4 linked regions of the Coturnix japonica genome follow. The protein of the gene in region 1 binds, or shares a complex with, the protein of each later gene. Links are inferred from orthologs where the notes say so. Each region holds a gene or a part of one and is shown in the gene's direction. Other genes may lie near its edges.

Evidence for each region.
Region 2: CBLL1 (region 1) and ZC3H13 share a complex: the UniProt entries of both Homo sapiens proteins name them as parts of the WMM complex. The link is inferred for Coturnix japonica from reciprocal best matches to the Homo sapiens genes CBLL1 and ZC3H13.
Region 3: CBLL1 (region 1) and WTAP share a complex: the UniProt entries of both Homo sapiens proteins name them as parts of the WMM complex. The link is inferred for Coturnix japonica from reciprocal best matches to the Homo sapiens genes CBLL1 and WTAP.
Region 4: CBLL1 (region 1) and RBM15 share a complex: the UniProt entries of both Homo sapiens proteins name them as parts of the WMM complex. The link is inferred for Coturnix japonica from reciprocal best matches to the Homo sapiens genes CBLL1 and RBM15.

Annotation. Positions count from the first base shown.
Region 1 is NC_029516.1:13,294,952-13,300,124, forward strand, and holds the start of CBLL1 (E3 ubiquitin-protein ligase Hakai), read left to right. Parts: upstream 1-1,864; 5' UTR 1,865-1,880; coding exon 1,881-1,995; intron 1,996-2,079; exon of another isoform or gene 2,080-2,327; intron 2,328-4,052; coding exon 4,053-4,220; intron 4,221-4,553; coding exon 4,554-4,654; intron 4,655-4,883; coding exon 4,884-4,967; intron 4,968-5,173. UniProt on the Homo sapiens protein: E3 ubiquitin-protein ligase that mediates ubiquitination of several tyrosine-phosphorylated Src substrates, including CDH1, CTTN and DOK1. Targets CDH1 for endocytosis and degradation.
Region 2 is NC_029516.1:150,360,516-150,365,163, reverse strand, and holds part of ZC3H13 (zinc finger CCCH domain-containing protein 13), read left to right. Parts: intron 1-1,438; exon of another isoform or gene 1,439-1,496; intron 1,497-2,451; coding exon 2,452-2,560; intron 2,561-4,648. UniProt on the Homo sapiens protein: Associated component of the WMM complex, a complex that mediates N6-methyladenosine (m6A) methylation of RNAs, a modification that plays a role in the efficiency of mRNA splicing and RNA processing.
Region 3 is NC_029518.1:41,023,658-41,028,850, forward strand, and holds the start of WTAP (pre-mRNA-splicing regulator WTAP), read left to right. Parts: upstream 1-2,116; 5' UTR 2,117-2,392; intron 2,393-5,193. UniProt on the Homo sapiens protein: Associated component of the WMM complex, a complex that mediates N6-methyladenosine (m6A) methylation of RNAs, a modification that plays a role in the efficiency of mRNA splicing and RNA processing.
Region 4 is NC_029541.1:1,764,929-1,770,051, forward strand, and holds the start of RBM15 (RNA-binding protein 15), read left to right. Parts: upstream 1-2,046; 5' UTR 2,047-2,179; coding exon 2,180-4,981; 3' UTR 4,982-5,123. UniProt on the Homo sapiens protein: RNA-binding protein that acts as a key regulator of N6-methyladenosine (m6A) methylation of RNAs, thereby regulating different processes, such as hematopoietic cell homeostasis, alternative splicing of mRNAs and X chromosome inactivation mediated by Xist RNA.

The DNA of each region.
Region 1 (5,173 bases):
AAATATAGAAGTTTAAGTAGTTTAATGAATGATTCTATTTTTATATAGCATATATATTTTTTTCTTTTAATATTCTACATCAAACTGCTGCTGTTCTTATGCAGGACATATGTAGATGTTTGACAGTCCATAATGCACAAGTGCAATAATTTACAGAAGATAAGGGAGTCGAACTTTAATCCTTATTTTAGGACTATATAAAATAGATATGCAGTAAATCGGTGATCTTAATTTCATGAAGAAACATTTGTTTGATGGCAAAGAGATTGCTACCTTAATGTTTTAGCACTATATTATTTTTTAATGGAAAAGCAAAAAAGGAAAAAAAAAAAACAAACACGAATCTTTGCACAGTGAGGGAATATATAATAGCAGAAGTATAAGAAATGTCCATGTATAATGTCCCCTCAGTATTTACGATTCCCAGTTGTTGGCATTTATGTTGATATTTGTTAAGTCTCCTTATTTGATTGCATCAGAGAATTTTTCCTATATCATACTGCACTGAGAAGGATATTGCTGCAAGTAAGGTTAGTGGAAAATCTCAGGTGAAAAGCTAAGCACTAAGTACGTTATTCTGCCCTATGGACCTGAGTGAACTCCATTAAGATCATTGTAAAAAATCCTATAAATCTCAATCATATGGACAGGATCCTCACACAGTGGGCAAAGGCGTGAAACTGACATCTTTATTCTGTAATAAATGCAAAAAACTTCAGTTCTAATGGCAATCGGTGTCATTTTTTATTTCAAATGCAGTGGGGGTTTGAACCTCAAAGGTGCTGCTGGTACAGCCCAAGCTGGTGACAACATGACTTCTTATTACTGTTAAGCAAATGCCCTTTGTGTGCCAGACTGGCATCTCCATGAACTGGAACTAGGTGTGTGCTTAGGAGCCAAGCCAGACTGACCTGCACGTCCTGAGATGGAAGCATTTCTCAGAGTCTGTAATGCTTTTCTTTAGCCCTCTAGAGAAGGACCTGAGGATCCTGGTGGATGAAAAAAGTGAACAAGGCAGTAGCCTGTTCTTGCAGCTCAGAAAGCAAATGGTATCCTGGGCTCCATCAGAAGAGGGGTGGCCAGCAGAGACAGGGAGGTGATTGTCCCTCTCTACTCTGCCTTCAGGAGGCCCCATCTGGAGGACAGCATCCAGATTTGGGGGCTCCAATATAAGAAAGACAGAGAACTGCTGGAGAGGGTCCAGAGGAGGGCCACAAAGATGACTGGAGGACTGGAGCACCTCCTGTGTGAAGATGGGCTGAAGGAGCTGGGCTCATTCAGTCTGGAGAAGGATGGGGGGTGACCTCATTGCAGCCTTTCAGTATCTAAAGGGAACCTATAAACAGGAGGGGAGTCAACTCTTTGAAGGTGTAGATAACAGCAGGACAAGGGGAAATGGTTTTAAGTTGAACGAGGCAAGATTTAGGTTGGATATCAGGGGGAAGCTCTTTAATACAAGAGTGGGGAGGAGCTGGAACAGGCTGCCCTGAGAGGAGCAATGCAATGCACTTATCTCAGTCTTGGACTGTGTATTTCCTCAAGGTATGGCAGTGCTCTCAATTCAAATGGTACAAAGCATTCGACCTGTCCTGAATGTTGGTGTTCCACACAAAGTCTGAGGTGATGGTTCTGTATGTATCACTACAGCCTTTGCACTATGGGGTGCTACACTTGGAGATACATTTCACAACCCTTTTACAGATCTGTGTATTGAAGGCCGTTGTATCCACTGACTGAAAAACAAAAGCTGTGCGTACTGAGAAAACACTCCGTGCATCCGCATGGTATTCAGTCCTTGCAGATGTGTCTGTACGGATCCCAATGCTGAGCAGCACCCAGAGCAGTGTGTGCTTATGGCCCCCGCTCGGCTCCATGGCGCCATGGCCGTTTCCCCTCAGCGCGCTCCTTGCCGCTCTCCCCGCCCGTTGCCCCGAACCTTCCGCTTCCGGCCGCGCCCTTCCTCTCCCACAGCGCCCCGCGCCATGGACCACAATGGTGAGGAGGGCCGGGCCGGGCCGGGCCGGGCCGGGGGCTGCTGGGCCGCGCTGCCGGACGGGGGGCGGTTGTGAGCGGGCTGCGGGGCGGAGGGCGGCTGGGCCGGTGCTCGGGAACGCGTCGGGCCGCGGTGTGAGCCCGGGCGCGGGGCCTGAGCCGTGCCCGGAGCGCCGAGCTCGCCGTCCCCTCCCCCAGCGAACGCGGCCGATCCGCGCTCCGTTCTGCGGGGCCTGTGCGTCAGGGTTCGGGTTTGTGCTGTGTTATGGATTATAAGAAGGCCTAAAATGCTCAAGAAAACAGAGGAGCTCCGCTGCTGCTTGCATCCTCTCCAGGTCTAAAGATTTGGGTACAGCTGTTGTACTTGTTTAGGGCTGGGTGTGTATCCACAGACCAGAGCGTGTCTTACAGGCCTTATGAGGAGCGGCTGAGGGAGCTGGGGTTGTTCAGTCTGGAGAAGAGGAGACTCAGGGGAGACCTTGTTGCTCTCTATAACTTCCTGAATGGAGGTTGTAGTGAGCTGGGGGTTGGCCTCTTCTCTCGTGTAATCGGTGATAGAACTAGAGGGAATGGTTTAAGCTGCGCCAGGGGAGATTCAGGCTGGACATTAGGAAGTATTACTTCTCAGAAAGGGTAGTCAGGCATTGGAATGCACTGCCCAGGGAGGTGGTGGAGTCACCAACCATGGGAGTGTTCAAGAAATGTTTGGATGTGGTGTTGATGAATATGATTTAGCTGGGAAGTATTGGTGATGGTTGGACTAGATGATCTTGTAGGTCTTTTCCAACCTTGATAATTCTGTGATTCTGTCGTCCTTCTGGAAACAGGCAGGAGCAAGTAGGAGCCAACTCTGCCCGCTGGGTTTGGGGCTGTGGGCATTCGCTGGGCAGGGTGAGAACTGAACTGCTCCCGCTGGACAGCGCAATGGAGCGAGCGCTGTGCTGAGTTCTGACCTTGTGTTTGGTGTATTTATCAATGCTTGCAAATGGACCGACGTCTGTAGGACTGCTGTGGCCTGTAGTGCAGTGTGTTGTTTGCTGTGCAGCAGAGCAGCCCAGGGAGCGATCAGAGGAAAACAGGTGCTGTCTGATGAATGGATCACAAAATATGGGCACTTATAATACTGAAGCAAAGTGAGTGTGAAGGCACAGTCCTGATTTGGAACTTGGTTGCTGTTGCAGAGGAAAGCTGCGAGCTTTGAGGCACAGAGTTTACACGAGGTGTTGTGCACGGTGCCCTGATGGGGCCCTGTCTCAATGTCCAGGTACTGCAGAGCTGTCACCGAGTTGTGTGTCAGTTTTGTTTCGGAATGGAATTTGCCTTCTGGGTTACTTGTGATCTTACACACTTGTCCATCTCCTTTCTATAGGGATACAGACTTAAAGGCATCTGAACATCAGTCTGATAATGGGTTTTGTAGAAGTCTGAGTGTTTGTTGCAAAGTGCTGACTGAATGTGCTATTTTGTCTATCCATGTTCCTGTTAAAATGGAAGTGAGCTGGGTTGGTTTGTGAAGGGTGTGATTTTATTTTAGTATAAATGAGATGCTGTGTGGTAGGTTGAGGCAGACTTGCTGAAAGCCAGAGAAATTGGGGTGTGCACCAATCCTTGGCAGCACTTTCCTCTCCAGGTTGTCTCTTGGTGCCTGTTTTGGGCATATCCTTGTTTCCTTTGGTGCCAGTCTTAAATCTGGCCAACGCGCCCTGTAGAGAGGAATGGTGATCTTTAGCAAGGATGCTATGTACTCTAGGCACCAATATGTTTGTGATACTTCATGCTGAACTTGTAAATGATATGTCCAGGTGCAAAGGGTGGAACAGGCTGCCCAGAGAGGTTATGGATGCTCCATCCCTGGAGGTGTTCAAGTCCAGGTTGAATAGGGCCCTGGGCAGCCTGGTCTGGTATTAAATGTGGAGGTTGGCGGCCCTGCCTGTGGTGGGGGGGTGTTGGAGTTTGATGATCCTTGAGGTCCCTTCCAACCCAAGCCATTCTGTGATTCTGAGAACCTTCAGAAACTCTTTTGTAACTAAGAAATAACAGAATTTCCTTTTCTTCCACAGACAATGATTTGCAAGGAACAAACAGTTCAGCGTCATTGGGTGGGCTTGATGTTCGCAGAAGAATCCCTATAAAGCTGATCTCAAAGCAGACCAATAAAACCAAACCTGCTCCTCGGGCTCCCAGAGCTATGAACAGGATGCCTGCAAAGACACAAGCTGGGGATGAAGGTAAATTGCTACAAGCAACTCACCCCGCAGTGAGGCAGTGCATTCTGCAGCACTGCTGAAGGCTTTAGTCAGTGTTGGAATCCAAGATTTTTTACAGCTGCTCAGCCTGTTTAAGTTTCCAGGTTCTGCTGCTCTGTAAGGATTAAATTATGTCAATTCCCCAAACAAATTCACACTGTTTTGATTGTACCTTTCTGCAGAATAGCCCAGCAGACCGGGAGTGTTGCAGCCCGTCTTGATGTTTTCAGTATATGATGGTGCATGCACTCAATAGCAGCCGGTGTCAGTCAGGGAAGTGGTGTTGCCTTGTGTCTGTCTTTCCTCTTTCCACAGAAGAATTTGATTTTAATGAAGAGGAGCGATACGAATGCAAAGGAGGTGAAATGTTTGGAAATCAAAGGAGATTCCCCGGACCCATTTTTTGGGACTATAAGGTAAAATCGTGGATGGGAAATGGTGGAACTTTGTGAATTGTACCAAACTGAAGGTTATTTTAAGAAGTATCTACTAGGATGAAAGCACTTGCATTACTTTGATGTACCAAAAATACATTTTTATCTTTGCGGTGGTCTTGCTTCAGTCTGGTAATTCAGAAAGGGTGGGTTGGTGATGACTGCAATGAGAAGAAGCTTTAGTAATGGTTCTCTTTCTCTGTTCTTCTAGATAAACTTGCTGGGGGAGAAGGATGATACGCCCGTCCATTTCTGTGACAAGTGCGGATTGCCCATCAAAATGTATGGGCGCATGGTGAGTGGGACTCTTGGGAAGAGGCAGCCACGGTGTCCCTGTAGGTAACAGGTGTTACTGTGTCTCTGTGGGGCTTCCAGAGGGTGGTAATTTCAGCAAACCTCTGAGTAAATGGCAGAACAATGTTGAGATGGAACCAGGGCCTTAACTGCTGGACTGCGTTGTTCTGCCTGACTCGCTGAGTTTGCTTTGCCCCTTGATTTAAT
Region 2 (4,648 bases), about 140 Mb from region 1:
ATGTGAATGTGTTCTAAACCGTCATCACTTAAGTGTTTGAACTTTGTGACCTGGGAAAATACACTCAGTTTTTAAGCTCAGATTTATTTTTTCAAGATGTGGTGCTACCAGATTATTTCCTTCTGACAATTTGAACTCGAGTTGTTTAGCATATGGACGAGCTCGGATACAGTTGTGCTGACTTGTGAACTAGCATGCTTACATAAAAATTGTCTGTTCCCTTCCCCTCTATTCAGGAACCCAATAAAATTCCTCATGGAGATGATTTTGTTCTCGGTTCTTTTTTAGAAGTATGGCTGCCCCATTGCTGCCACTACTGAATCTCTTCTCCGAAAGGAGAAAATAAAGGCTGTTTCAGTATGTTGGGTTGGGTTTTAAGTTTGGAGATGTAGGTGAGATACGTACCGGTTCTGTATGGTTTCTAACTTGGACTGTTAAGTTGTTCCGATTAAGCTGCAGGTTCTTTGTTGGCGAGTTGCTTTGTGAATCGGCCTTGAGGTGTTTGTTAAAGTTAGTATCTATGAGGGGTGCTGTACTCCTCATAGATATACATGCTGAACTACATGCGTGCTGTAGTTCACTACTACCAAATAGTGTTGAATTAATAGAATCTGGTGTTTTTAAGAACTAATGTTTATTATTTGATTATAGTTGTAGGAATTAGTTGGATTCTATAGCAAAAATAAGCATTTTTGTAGAACAGATTCAGCCTTCCAGGAGAGCAGTCTAGAAAAACAAAGGTGCTCAAAGTGAAACAAGAGAATAGCTTCAGGGGAGACTTGATAAAGCTGCAAACTTCGAATCTCATGAGTCATTTTTTGGTTGCTTTTTCAAGTAAGTTGCTTTGGAATTTAGTACAGTTTTTTGTACTTAGACTGGAATGCTTTCGGTACATGTTGCGTTGATGCTGGAAATCTGTGTGACTTGGTAGGTTAGGACCATGTGCATCCTTTTAGAGAACCTGTCGTAAAGCGATGAAAATCTCTCTTTTCCTCACTGTAGAAGCTGCTTTAAATTACACTTGACACAAAATTGTTCTTTAATGAAAAGTTCCTCTGTATCATTTAGTAAATGAATGTAGCATTTAGTAAATGCTCAGTTTTTCAAAACCTTTAAGGCTTTGAATATGACGTACTTAATGCATCAAGATGAAGGGTTTGAAGATAACTATGCATTGAAGTGTTGTTCAGTTTACTAGGGAAAATAAATGCAGTACTTATTCTGTCATTTTTTATGTAATTAAGCTAGAGTTTGACATTGTTAAAGAAATAAAGGAATAGTTTAATTGTACTGACTTAGGAGTGACTCTCCATGAAACTGTATTATTTCCTCACTGTGTCTCTAAGGTGGTGTTAAGGGTTTAAATGAAGTAATGGCTTAAGTCCCAATGGGGAATAGCTAGTGAAATTCTCAGGCATTTCCTTTTCCTTCACATAAGGGGTCCAACGTACCAGCGCTGAAGAATCCCCAAAAGACAAAAGAAAGCACTATGGGAGGTGAGAAGAAAAGGGGAGTGGGGCAGGCTTTCATTAATTGCTCTTTCTGGTATCCTATGTAATAAATTAGTCTTCTATGCTTGGATATTCTTTTATTATTATTATTATTATTATTATTTTGATTGCATACAGTTAAAAGAATTTGTCGTGTACTTGGCTTGAGTCCAGAGAGATTATTTAGAGAGTGTGGATACAACAGAGGCAATGTTGCTTTACTACTGGAATGCAGGGTGGGGGGGTGAGGAAAGTAGCACAGATCCACTTGTCTTTTGAAATGGTTTCCTCCAAGAAAAGACATCCTTAGGTATCCATAGGACCATCATGATCCTATATACCACATGCTGTTTTGCCAAATGTTAAGTGAGTGCTACTGTGGTAGATAGGCTTGATTTTTAATACTGGGCCAATGAGCAAAGATAAAGCTTCTAAGAAAACCTGATTCCAGCGTTTTCCTTTTGGGCTTTTTCCCCACTTCCTTCTGCTAGCCTCTCCCTTTTCCCTCCCCACATTATCCTCCCAAGTGAAGTGGTTCAGCTTCTCCAAAGGTCATCTTCCTTTCATATGACATTCTTACTTACAGCTGAGAACTCTTAATGCTGTTATAGTTATGGTTTCAAGAACCTGATCTGTTCTTTAGATTCCCATTTTAAACTTGATTCTCTGGCACATGCTTGATTCTTGCCCTGCCTGTAAACCTTCTTATTTGACAAATCCCTTTTTCTCTCTTTTCCCAATCTGCTATTTGCATACTGATTATGTGAAATCGCGTTAGAATATTCTGCCTTTGGATTCTCTGCTTATTTGAGAAGGTATATGGTCAACAGGCTAAAGGGGAAAATGCTTTTTGTGCTATTAAAAAGGAACAGCCTAAATACCATGTAAAATGTACCTGCTTCTTCAGGCTTCTTTTAAAAAATAAAGTTGTTTACTCTAATGCAGTGTTTTTCCCTTATAGAAAGAGTCTTCACGAGGAAGACATAGAGAAAAGGAAGATATAAAAATTACAAAGGAGAGAACACCAGAAAGTGAAGAGGAAAATGGAGACTGGGAAACAAATAGAGAAGGTAAGAAAGATTAAACTGATCATCTCACTACCATTCAAAGAAATACAAGATCTGCAGGGCTGTGTGTAAGGCAGAAGTGGTTATAAAGAGTCAGTTTCTAAGCAGAGTGCTTCTATGCAGTAGCCACTAGGGTTCATTATTGGAAGAGAGCAAAGGTGCAATCAGAGTTGGAGTGCCGATGAGTAAAACCAACTTAGTGTAAAAATCATGTTTTTATGACTCCTCAGACAGCAAGGAGCTTTGCTATTGTCTATGCTGTGACTGAGCCTTTTGTCTTCAGATTAATAGCAGATCCAAGATGATCTTGAAACTGGTCAGTGAGAAGAAAGGAGGGCTTCTTTGAAGTCAGCAGGGATCTTTTGTTTTTGCATTATTTTTGTTAGCTATCTCATTAAAGAGGGCTCAATTAGAATAACAACGGCTAAAGGTAGTGTTTTGTTACTGGTCATCTTTTGAAATACTAGGAGATTGAGAAAGCAATACAGATTTTCCCTTGACTGTTTGCATAGTAAATGGATGAATATTATCAATACCAAATACAAGAAAATCATTCTCAACCACAGTCTCTATCCTAACACACTCCTACTATTGAAAGACAATGGAGAGGGGTTGGAAGGATTCTGATTGACCTTTGAGGATTCTCTCTACCAAAAGGTTGTGATGTCAGACAAAGAAACACTCCTTTCTCTGATGAATTTGTAGCTCTTCTATAAAGAAGGATACTAGATCACAGAATCACAGAATTGTAGGGGTTGGAAGGGACCTCTAGAGATCATCGAGTCCAACCCCCCTGCCAAAGCAGGCTCCCTACACCATGTCACACAGGTAGGTGTCCAGGTGGGTCTTGAATATCTCCAGAGAAGGAGACTCCACCTCCCTGGGCAGCCTGTTCCAGTGCTCCGTCACTCTCACTGTAAAGAAGTTCTTCCGCACATTCGTGCAGAACTTCGTTATATCAGATATCAGTAGTAGTTGTATTAGACAATTATCTACGCTGTGTCAGCCCCAAACTATTATGCAGATGAATATGTATGCTTAGCTCTTTTGCTTAATGCATATGTTTAGCTGGAAGTTCCATATCTTAGAAACAAAATGCAGACAGTCACAGCGCCTTCTTAAACAAAATACATTGAATTAATATTGGGAGGGAGGAAGAGTATGTTATTCAATAGGAGAAAGAACATATTATTTTCATTTAAATTAAGATGCCTATAAATTTACACCAAACCTTGGTAAACATTCTCTCCCTAATTAGAAATCTTCAGATGCTGGGGTTTACCTTTTCTGATACCTTATTTTAGCTAAATGTACAAGTGTAATTGTTAGTTGATTAATGATTGATTGTCTAGTATTATAGTTTAGTAACTGTAGAAAATAAATGTTTAATAGTCAGAGAGGTCATTTGTGTCTCTGGAAAAGTAAATTACCCGGGAAATTACTCAAACAAATTCAGATACAATGAATCTATTAACAGTGAAGTACACTGTAAGTTATTTTTGGGATGGCTCATCTGTGTAAGTTTTATTAATTAGTGGCTTTTCTATTGTTTGGGCTCTACATGTTGCAGTGTTTTTAAGACACTGTTGGAGTAGGATTTGTGAAGATGTGTATTGACAGAAGCTGTCAGGTGACTGAGAGAATAAGATGATAGCGGCTCTTTTAAATGTAGTTCTGAGAAGTCTTATTGTGTTGTTACCTTTATAACTTCTATGGATTACAAAGGAAATGTTGTTCCCAGTGAACTCTTCCCTTCCTAGCAAAACTAACCCATAATGTATTTTCACTGTTTCTAAACCTGAATTTTCAGAGTGGTTTAAGAAGCATTGTTGTGTGACATGTATGTATGGAAACAGAATCTAAGTAAAAAGAAAAAAAGTGCATCATAAAAACGTCTATTTCTATATAAATATATGATATGAATACCTTAATTCATACTCCTTGAGGTTTACAGCTTGAGAATGTTGAGTTTTTAAAAATGATGTTAATCATAGATGTAGTGTCTGATGGATGAAGTAGAATGACTGTCTTTTAAAGCTGAGTGTTATATAAATGAATTGATGGACTGGGAAGTAAGGATGTGTGCTGTTA
Region 3 (5,193 bases), on another chromosome or scaffold:
ACGTTGGTGTACAAAGGTGGCACTAAGATACCCAGTTTATCAGCTGGCCCATATACCAATAACGTCACTCTTCACACAATATTTGATTACAATTTGAGGTCATCAATGCAAACAGAACATCAACAATGTAAGATGAGCAGGTACACAAAGTCCAAATACACTAATACAGCTAAAGGGAGTTTTATGGGATTCCTTTGCATTTAAAGCTTTGCAAGTATCAGCATAAATAGTGACTAGGACGTAAAATATGGAATCAACCCCCTTTCTTTCTCTCCACACTTGATCTTTATGTGCTGTCAGATGGAAGGGGTTTGAATCTGGAGGCCTGATAAACTCTTGACAGCTGATCTGCTTCAGTTTTGTTCTCAACCACAAACATCAGAACTGTTTTCCAGCTCAAGAGGAATGGGAGTCCAGGCTGTAATAAAGGGCCAACCTGAAATCACTAAGTGATATCCTGGGCTTTTTTGGTCTTTTGGTTTTTCTGTTTGTCTTGCACCATCCTATTTAACTCTGCTCGGCCATAGCATCCAGGGTTGAGATTCAAATGCATTAAAGGAATGCTTAAGAGGAAAACAAAACCCCAAAAACACAGCAATTGCACAAAGACAAATGATTAGGAAACTTGTATGGTAGAGATTAAAGTTATTGAAACAACAACAAAAAGGATGACTAAGCATTAATAAGCAGCTTGGATTCAGTGTAGTTAATGAGCAACATAATATCCAATAACAACCTCCTGCCCAGTGTGGGTACATTTGCACATTTCTTGGAAATCCAGGCTCTGTGAAATTCAGTCAGTAGGAGAAACAACGTGATATTAAAACCATAATTACTTTAACATGGCTTTAAAAGGGCTGTAATCAATACCCAGCTTTATATCCTTAGTTAACTAAGTACACATCTGTACTTACATTGTCTGTTATAAGCATCCCAGACCTGAGCTTAACTGAGTCACCACTCAGCTGTAATTGTAGCCTAATTGATTGGTTGCTGTTTAGGTGATGCCTTGAGGAGACACTCCACAACATACAGGTGTGAATATATTCCTGACCACCACATTGCGTGCAGCAACTCACAGGTGTGCAGTGGTACCACAAGCGTTGCAGTTAAGCATTATATCAGCTCCACAGACAGCAGTTATAAAATGATAGTATTATATTAACACTGCAGAAGTTGCTGTGGTGCTGTCCAAATGTTCGCTGCTTTTTGCACTGAGCTGAAGTCCATAGTATTTAGTCCAGTATTTGACACATGTGATCACTTTGTGCTCATCTAAAACTTTTAAAGCAAACACCTGCAAAGGATTTGTGGAGGAAGCAGGGCAGGAAAACCGAAAGCGCAATCACAGTCCCTGTTTTTTAGCTCAGATCTAAGATAAGGCTTTCAAAGTACTTCAGCTTTGTATTGCTGGGGTCATCACTCATGTGAAACTTGCTTTTTTGTGTAGCCACACCAGATCTCTGTATACACGCCTTGAGCTTCAAGGTCTTTCTATCGCTAACTCAGGGAAACTGATGCTTCTATATAAATACAAACAGGGAATATGTACGTTGGAATCCCTCCAACGTTTTGTTACCAATTAACACAGCCACGAAGCCGGATTTCTATCGCACCTTCAGGCAGGCAGCGAGGCACAGAGAACCGACTTCAGCTGGGGGTTGACAACTTCCAGCAGCCCGTTCCAGCCCAGCGATTCCATAACACAGCAACCAGCCGAACCCCAGCCGGGCACAGAGCACCGAGCTCACAGCGCACCCTGTGAGGAGCCTCCACAAACCAGCCTCAGTACCGCGGTATCCTTCCGCCCGCCCCGTGATGCCCCGCACTAAACGCTCGTCCCGCCCCTCCGCCGTTTAACTGACGGCTTTTAAACCAACGTTCCGATAACCGGGGAAGCAGCCGCAGCGGGACAGCGAGCCCAGCCCGCCATCGTGTGTGTGCTGCGAGAGAGGCGAGTTCCCCAGGGGAGCCTCTGAGCAGCCGGGCCGACCCGCCAAGAGGCCGCTCCGCCATCGGGGTCGGCACAACCCCCCTCCCCGCTCACTGCGGCGGCTCCAGCTCCCGCCGCGCATCGCGTGTTGCGCGCGCAGCCGCCGCCCTGTGTCGCGGGGCGGAGCGGGCGGGCGCTCATTTCCTCCTTGGGCGCCATTTTGTAGCGCAGAGAGTCCGCAAATAAAGAGCGGGCGGGAGCGGCGCGCGGGGACGCGCGGCTGGGGGGGACGCGGCCGAGACCCCGGCTGCGGAGCGGAGGAACCGGCCGAGCCGGCGGCGGGCGAGGGAGGCGGCGGACGGGCCGGTGCGAGCGGCGTTCGGCACTCGATGTGACGGGTCCGGCCCGGGCTATCGAGCGAGCTGCCGAGAGAGCGGGCCTACGCACCGCCGGCGGGAGGTGAGCGGGAGAGCGGGCGCCGTTTCACCGTGGGCGGCGGCGGGCACCCGGCGGTCCGGCCCTCACCACGGGCGGGAGGGGAGCGGAAGCGCCTAGAGCCATTTTGTGCCAGGCCCGGCGGCCCGCGGGGAGTCTCCTCCCCCACACTCGGCCGCGCCGCGCCCCGGCGCCGTCCGCCTCGAAGGAGGGAGGGGGTGGGAAGAACCGCCACGGGCCGGGGGGGCCGCGGGGTGTGAGGGGTGAGCGGCTGCGGCGGGCACGGGCCGCGGGGTTCGGCGCATAAGGTGGGGCTGGAACGGAGGGGAGGGGGCGGGAGCCGAGGCGGTGTGAAATCAGCCCGCGGCCGAGCGTGAAGTGTGTGTGTATGTACGTGTGTGTGTGGATGGGGGGGGTACCTTTTTCCCCTTCTCGCGGAAGCCTAGATGCTTTTTTAGGGATTTCCCCACAACGCTTATTTACGTATCATTAAAGGAACTGGCAGTTAGTTAAAGCACGAGTAGGGAAGCAGCAGCTCGCTCATATCTGTGCTTAACTACTTCTTGACTTCCTTGTTCTGTTTAAATGAGTTGAGTTTAGAGTGAATGCTTGCATGGGAATTGGGAGGTGAAATTCACATATGCTGTTATCTATCTGTGTATGTATTCAACCTAAGTTTTCTGAGGTAACTTACTGAATTCTTTTAGTAAACTTTATTTTGTGGCGGTGTTTTTTTTATGTCTATCCGCTGCAAATGATAACAAGTGATAGTAAGGCTGCCTTGTGCAATGCAGTGGCCTGTAGCATCCATCTTCCTCGCTGCTGTTGAAGGATCTTCAACAGATGGCAAGAGTTAGCTTTGCTGTCAATGTAGTTTTCTTTTTTTAGCTGTAATTGTAGTTCTCTTGGACACAGGAAATTGTGTTTCTCTCTGTCAAGGATTTCAGTGGTGCTGAAGTTTTCAAGGCTGGAACTTGTGAATACGGAAGCAGTAAAAGATTCCTAAATGTTTTAAGGAGGATTTAAGTAGGCGACTTAAGTACAGGGCTCACTAGCATTCTTTTTCCAATCTCTAAGTTATTCTGTGTTAGTTTGAATGAGTGAGTTGAGCACCATCAAGTTCATATTTAGCCTCTTGGATATATATTCAAGGTACGTGTTAAGTGAAGCAGGAGCTGTGCCAGAAGTTAAAGCACTGAGGAGTGGGGAGGAGAGGGCTTTATCTTGGGGAAGCACTTCAGTTCTGCCATCATCGTATCATAGTATCATAGTCTCGTGAGGGTCGGAAGGGAACTTAGAGATCACCATGAGGGCTAGGAACAGGAAGCTGCCATTCATCAGTGAGATGCTTTTACTACGTGTTTTTAGAGCCATTCCCACAGGTTCTGATGTCAGTTTCTATTTTATGAAGGGCTTAGAATCTGTTTCCTCTGTGTGCACTGCTTGCTGTCTTCTTAGGGTTTTCTTTGAAAGAAAAAGAAACTTGATTTGAATGGAGTTCTGTGTATTTGTTGGTAGTTAGTAGGTTTCTGTAAACTGAGGCAGTTGTGCTTCATTTGGAGTGTATTTGTGTTATTGACAGGAATGGGGCCCTTAGGATTTGTAGAAGTTCCATTAGTTCCATGCGTGCCTTTGTGAATATACCAAAGGTGCTTCGTGTGAGTCCTTTGAAACCAGTTCTTTGAATTGAAGTGCATTGTTTTCATCAAGTTGTGTTCATGACTGAGGAGTTGGCTGCATAATTTGAGTAGACATGAGTTGCAGCAGCTCTATACACTTGTCAAATCTCAGTACTGTTTGCAGCTTTCTATGGAAGGCACATTGCAAAGATGCATGGCTCTAAAGAAGTTCAGCTTCCTTGTTAAATATGCTTTAATGCTGTAATAGCTAATAGTCTTGTGCGGGTTGGAAGGGACCTTAGAGATCATCGAGTCCAACCCCCGGGATTCGAGCCTCTGTGTAGCAGAGCGGCACTTCTACCACTTGCACCACAGGGGGGATTCGAACCCAGGCCCTGTCTAAGGGTTTTTGTGGGCTTGATTTTTAATGTTGTCTGACTTAAATAAATCTCTATTTGCAGGTAAGAAAGCGTGTCTAGTAACTCAAGGAAGTGTGAATATTTAACTTAGCACAAATGTGGTCCTGTTATGGTACATACACACAGGATGAATTGAATTTTGATAGTTAGCCAAGCCATTAACTGACATACTGCCTTCCCTAAAAATAACCACAAGGGCTTTTAACTTAATATTAAGTTTGTAGCTTAATATTAATTTATCACAATATCACAATTAAGCTTAATATTTATTTATCACAATCTTAAAAGTAAGAGTTGAAAGCACATAATGTGACCCAAGCTTTACAGGTAATGTTCGAAATAATTTGCTTTATTCTAAAATGGTACTGAAGTAGTAGTGTTAATTGCTTTTATAGTTGATGTTATCCCCTTCCTTGTGGAACACTGCATTAAGTAGTTTTGGACACACAGGAAATGCCACTTTGCTTATATTTATTTAAATTAACAAGGTCTGATGTTTTTAGCAGGACACGGGGAAATGGTTTTAAGTTGAAAGAGGGAAGATTTAGGTTGGATGTTAGGGGGAAGTTCTTTACTAGGAGAGTGGTTAGGTCCTGGAACAGGCTGCCCAGGGAGGTTGTGGATGCCCCGTCCTTGGAGGTGTTCAAGGCCAGGTTGGACGGGGCCCTGGGCAACCTGATCTAGTAAATGTGTATGTTTGGTGGCCCTGCCAGGCAGGGGGGTTGGAACTACATGATCCTTGAGGTCCCTTCCAACCCGGGTCATTCTGTGATTCTGTGATGTTTTG
Region 4 (5,123 bases), on another chromosome or scaffold:
ATTGACTTCAGAGCGTGGGGAGGAGAGGGAAGGTGGGCAGCGGGATGAGCTGCTCTCACCAAGCACATTCAGGTGGGGGGATGCTGTAAGCACTGAGCCCACCCCAGGCTCTGCCGTTTGTGCTGCAGGACGGATCCTGCTCCTCCTGCCTTTCCTCGAGGTGCTGGGCGCTGTCTGTGGTTCGCTGCCAACCCCGATCCATGGCGTGGATGTCCTCCAGCTTTTTCCTTCTGCTGGTTGAGGCAGCGCATGAATCGCATTGAGCACATAGTGGAAGCTGAGGTCGGAGTGCACGCCTGCTCGCTCTCGCACTGCAGACAGGCTCCCAGGAGGGCTCTTGTGGCTTTGCCTAAGTGAAGCTAACGCATTTCGACAGCTCTAATGGGCAGCTGGGATGGGAGCGAGGCTGCAGGAAGAAACGAGGATGCGAAGCAGCTCAGGGAGCAGCTGGGATGATCAGCAGGGGATGATCAGCACAGGGGGAGCAGCAGCACTTTGTGTCTCCTCCTCTGTGCCCGATGGAGTTGGAGATGATCATTTAAAGAGGAACAAGACAACAGCACCTTGCACTCAGCCTGCAGCACCCAGACACCCCCCAGGTAATGAACCTAAATACCCCCCAGGTAATTAATAAACCCCCAGACCCCCCAGGTAATGAACCTAAATACCCCCCAGGTAATTAATAAACCCCAAAACCCCCCAGGTAATTAATGAACCCAAACATCCCCCCAGGTAATGAACGCTAAATACCCCCAGGTATTATGAACGCCCAAAACCCCCCCGGTAAATTAATGAACCCAAATATCCCCATATAATGAACCCAAACACCCCTCAGGTAATTAATGAACCCAAATATCCCCCAGGTAAATTAATGAACCCAAACATCCCCCAGGTAATGAACCTAAATACCCCCCAGGTAATTAATGAACCCAAATATCCCCCATATAATGAACCCAAACACCCCCCAGGTAATTAATGAACCCAAATATCCCCCATATAATGAACCCAAACACCCCCCAGGTAATTAATGAACCCCCAAACCCCCCAGGTAATTAATGAACCCAAATATCCCCCATGTAATTAATGAACCCAATCACCCCCCATATAATGAACCCAAACACCCCCCCCATAATGAACCCCCAAACCCTCCAGGTAATTAATTAACCCAAACACCCCCCATGTAATTAATGAACCCAATCACCCCCCAGGTAATTAATGAACACCAACACCCCTCCATGTAATTAAGGAACCCAAACACCCCCAGGTAATTAACCCAAATACCCCCAGGTAATTAACGAACCCAATCACCCCCCATGTAATTAAGGAACCCAATCACCCCCCAGGTAATTAACGAACCCAATCACCCCCACGTAATTAATGAACCCAATCAGCCCCCATATAATGAACCCAAACACCCTCCATGTAATTAATGAACCCCAACACCCACCAGGAGACCAATCAAAATCAAAGCGCGCTTGACTGACAGCCATATTAGCCAATCCGCAAGCTCCTACCCGCATCCAATCGGGTGCTTAGGGAGATTTTCTCGTCCAATGGTAAACGAAGAGCGGAGCGTGGGCAGCATCCCGCGCTTCTGCAGGAGTGGCATTGGCTTCAACCAATCAGAACAAGGCAGACCAGGTTGGCAGTGACCAATGGGAAAAGGGGGCGGGTAAAGCGCTGCTCGCGAGAATTTGAGCGGGACAACGGGAACCCGCGGACCAATGGGGAGCAGGGGCGAGATAACTGGCAGGTGAAAGGACCAATTGGAAGGAGGAGAGAGTTTCGCCCAATGACCAATGGGAAAAAGGCAGAGCCGCTCCTAGTGACAGGAGAGCTGGACCAATCAGAAGGCCGCGCCCTTTCTAACTATCCAATGAGACAGCGGGGCGGGGCGGATGGGGGGCGGCTCTTCCCGGCGCGCGAGGCCGGCCCATAGACAGACATCTCCCTCAGCCAATAGGAACGAGGATCGGCGGGGCGGTGGGGCGGGATTTCCGCCCGGCGGGAGAGAGAGGGTGGGGTGAGGCTGCGAGCGGCCAATGGGCGCCGAGGGGGCGGGGTCGGCGGCGGCCGCGGCTTCCAAGATGGCGGCGGATGCGTGAGCGCGGCGGTCGGTCCGTCGGTGAGGCCGCCGGGGCGCAGGGCCGGGCGGGAGGCGGCCCCGCCGGGCACCGCCATGAAAGGCAAGGAGCGCTCCCCCGCCAAAGCCAAGCGGTCTCGGGGCGGAGGGGGCGGCGAGGACTCGGCCTCATCCTCCTCCTCAACGCGAGAGCGGAGCAGCAAGAAGCCCAGCGGCTCCGGCGGCGGCTCCAACGGCGGCAAAGCGGCGGCGGCGGCTTCGAACGATAACAACAGCGGGAGGCGGGGCCCGCACCAGGACAAGGCCGCACGGACCGAGAGCGGGGCGGCCACGGGCACGGGAGGGCGGCACGGGTACGGCGGGAAGAGCACGGAGCCGTCACGGAGCAGCAGCAGCCGCGGGGGTGAGTCCCGGACGGTTGCGGCCCAGTCGTCGTCGTCTGACAGCGGGGAGTACAAGACACTGAAGATCAGCGAGCTGGGCTCGGCTCTGAGCGACGAGGCGGTGGAGGACGGGCTGTTCCATGAGTTCAAACGATTCGGAGATGTGAGTGTTAAAATCAGTCGCCTCCCGCCCGGTACCGGCGCTGCGGATGAACGTGTGGCTTTCGTTAACTTCCGACGGCCTGAAGATGCACGAGCCGCTAAACACGCCCGTGGTCGCCTCGTGCTGTACGACCGGCCGCTGAAGATCGAGGCCGTCTACGTGGGGAGCGGCGGAGGGAGCAGCAGGAGGAGGAGCAGCCGTTCGCCGGCGCTGCTGGACAAGGAGTCACCCTACGGCACGGCAGCCGTGGGGCTGGCGGCGGCGGCGGCAGCTGTACGGCATCCCGCAGCTGGGGCGACGCAGCGGGCTTTGTCCCCCGCCGGCAGCGGAGGGGCGTTGGGTTACCGGGACTACCGGCTGCAGCAGCTCGCTTTGGGCCGCTTGCCGCCCCCTCCCCCTTTGCCCAGGGAGTTGGAGAGGGAGAGGGACTATGGGGGTTTTTATGAGGCGCGAGTGCGGCCGGCCTATGGGCTGGAAAGGGTGGCCAGCGTGGCGGCTGCTGGGGGATTCCGTGGAGGAGGAGGGGGTGCTGGAGCTGCCAGTGAGGAGGAGATCAGCCCTGAGGATGACCAGAGAGCCAACCGCACGTTGTTCCTGGGCAACCTGGACATCACCGTGAGCGAGACAGATTTACGTCGAGCTTTTGATCGTTTTGGGGTCATTACTGAGGTGGACATCAAAAGGCCGGGGCGCGGGCAGACTAGCACTTATGGGTTTCTTAAGTTTGAGAATCTGGACATGGCGCATCGAGCCAAGCTGGCCATGTCGGGAAAGGTGCTCCTGCGTAACCCTATCAAGATTGGGTATGGTAAAGCCACTCCAACTACCAGGCTCTGGGTGGGTGGCCTCGGGCCTTGGGTGCCCCTTGCCGCCTTGGCCAGGGAGTTTGACCGTTTTGGCACCATTCGTACCATTGATTACCGCAAAGGTGATTCATGGGCCTACATCCAGTATGAGAGCCTGGACGCGGCGCAGGCGGCCTGCACCCACATGCGTGGCTTTCCATTGGGTGGGCCGGATCGCCGCCTCCGCGTTGACTTTGCGGATACCGAGCATCGGTACCAGCAGCCCTACCTGCAGCCCCTGCCTTTGCCCCCTCCTGCTCATTATGAGCTCGTGGCGGAGGCGGCTGCTTTTGGGGCTCACCGGGGGGCCCCACCCGATCCTCTGCGGGGTGCCCGGGACAGGACGCCACCGTTGCTCTATAGAGACCGTGATAGAGACCTTTATCCCGAGACAGAGTGGGTGCCACCCCCACCCCCTGTACGGGACAGGAGTAACCGAGCAGCTGCCTACGACCCACTGGAAAGCCTAGAACGCCGTCGGGATGGTTGGTCCTTAGAGCGGGACCGAGGGGAGCGGGAGTTGGGCAGTAGTAGGGATCAGCCTAGGAAACGGAGGCTGGCTGAGGACGGAGGCCGGCACTTGGATCGCTCTCCGGACAGCGAGCGCTCTTCTTCCTCTCGGAAGCGTCACTGCTTGACCACGACCACACCACCAGACCGCAGCCCTGAGCTCGTCGGGGGGAGGGAGCGTTACAGCAGCGACCCGGAGCGTTCATCGTCTCGCTTGCTCCTCTTGGAGCGGCCCTCTCCCATCCGGGAGTCACGGAGGGGCAGCTTGGAGAGGGGTCAGAACGAAAAGCGTGACCGAAAGAATTCCGCTGAAAGGGAGCGGAAACATCGCACTTCTGCTGCTGCTGCACAGGAGTGCAAAAGCCCGGCCAAAAAGGATGAACGTGCTGCAGAGGGAGGCGGTGGAGGCTCCCGCCTCAAACCTCCACCTCAGAAACAGCAGCAGGACGGAGCATCGCAGGCCGGGGGAGCCCCCAAGCTGTGCTTGGCGTGGCAGGGGATGCTTCTGCTGAAGAACAGCAATTTCCCGTCCAATATGCACCTGCTTCAGGGGGACCTCGGAGTTGCCAGCAGTCTCCTTGTGGAAGGAGCGACTGGTGGGAAAGTAGCTCAGCTCAAGATCACCCAACGTCTTCGTCTGGACCAGCCCAAGTTGGATGAGGTGAACCGCCGCATCAAGGTGGCGGGTCCCAATGGTTACGCCATCCTTTTGGCTGTGCCCGGCACATCAGACAACCGCTCCACAGCCGGGGCTGGCGAGGCCACCACCTCCACCCAGAGGCCGCTCAGGAATCTGGTCTCTTATCTAAAGCAAAAGCAGGCTGCTGGGGTGATCAGCCTCCCTGTGGGGGGCAACAAAGACAAGGAGAACAGCGGGGTCCTGCACGCCTTTCCGCCCTGCGACTTCTCCCAGCAGTTCCTGGACTCCACGGCCAAGGCGTTGGCCAAATCAGAGGACGACTATCTGGTCATGATCATCGTCCGTGGGGCATCTTAAAAGCCCTTGTGTGCTCTGTACCCAACCCTGCCTACTCCTCCACACAGCCCCTCCAGCGTGTGCCAGGTGCTATGGGATACAGCCTTAGCCAGCCCAGTCATGATTTTAAATTAGATCTTTGTTTGTAGGTGACTTTCTGTGC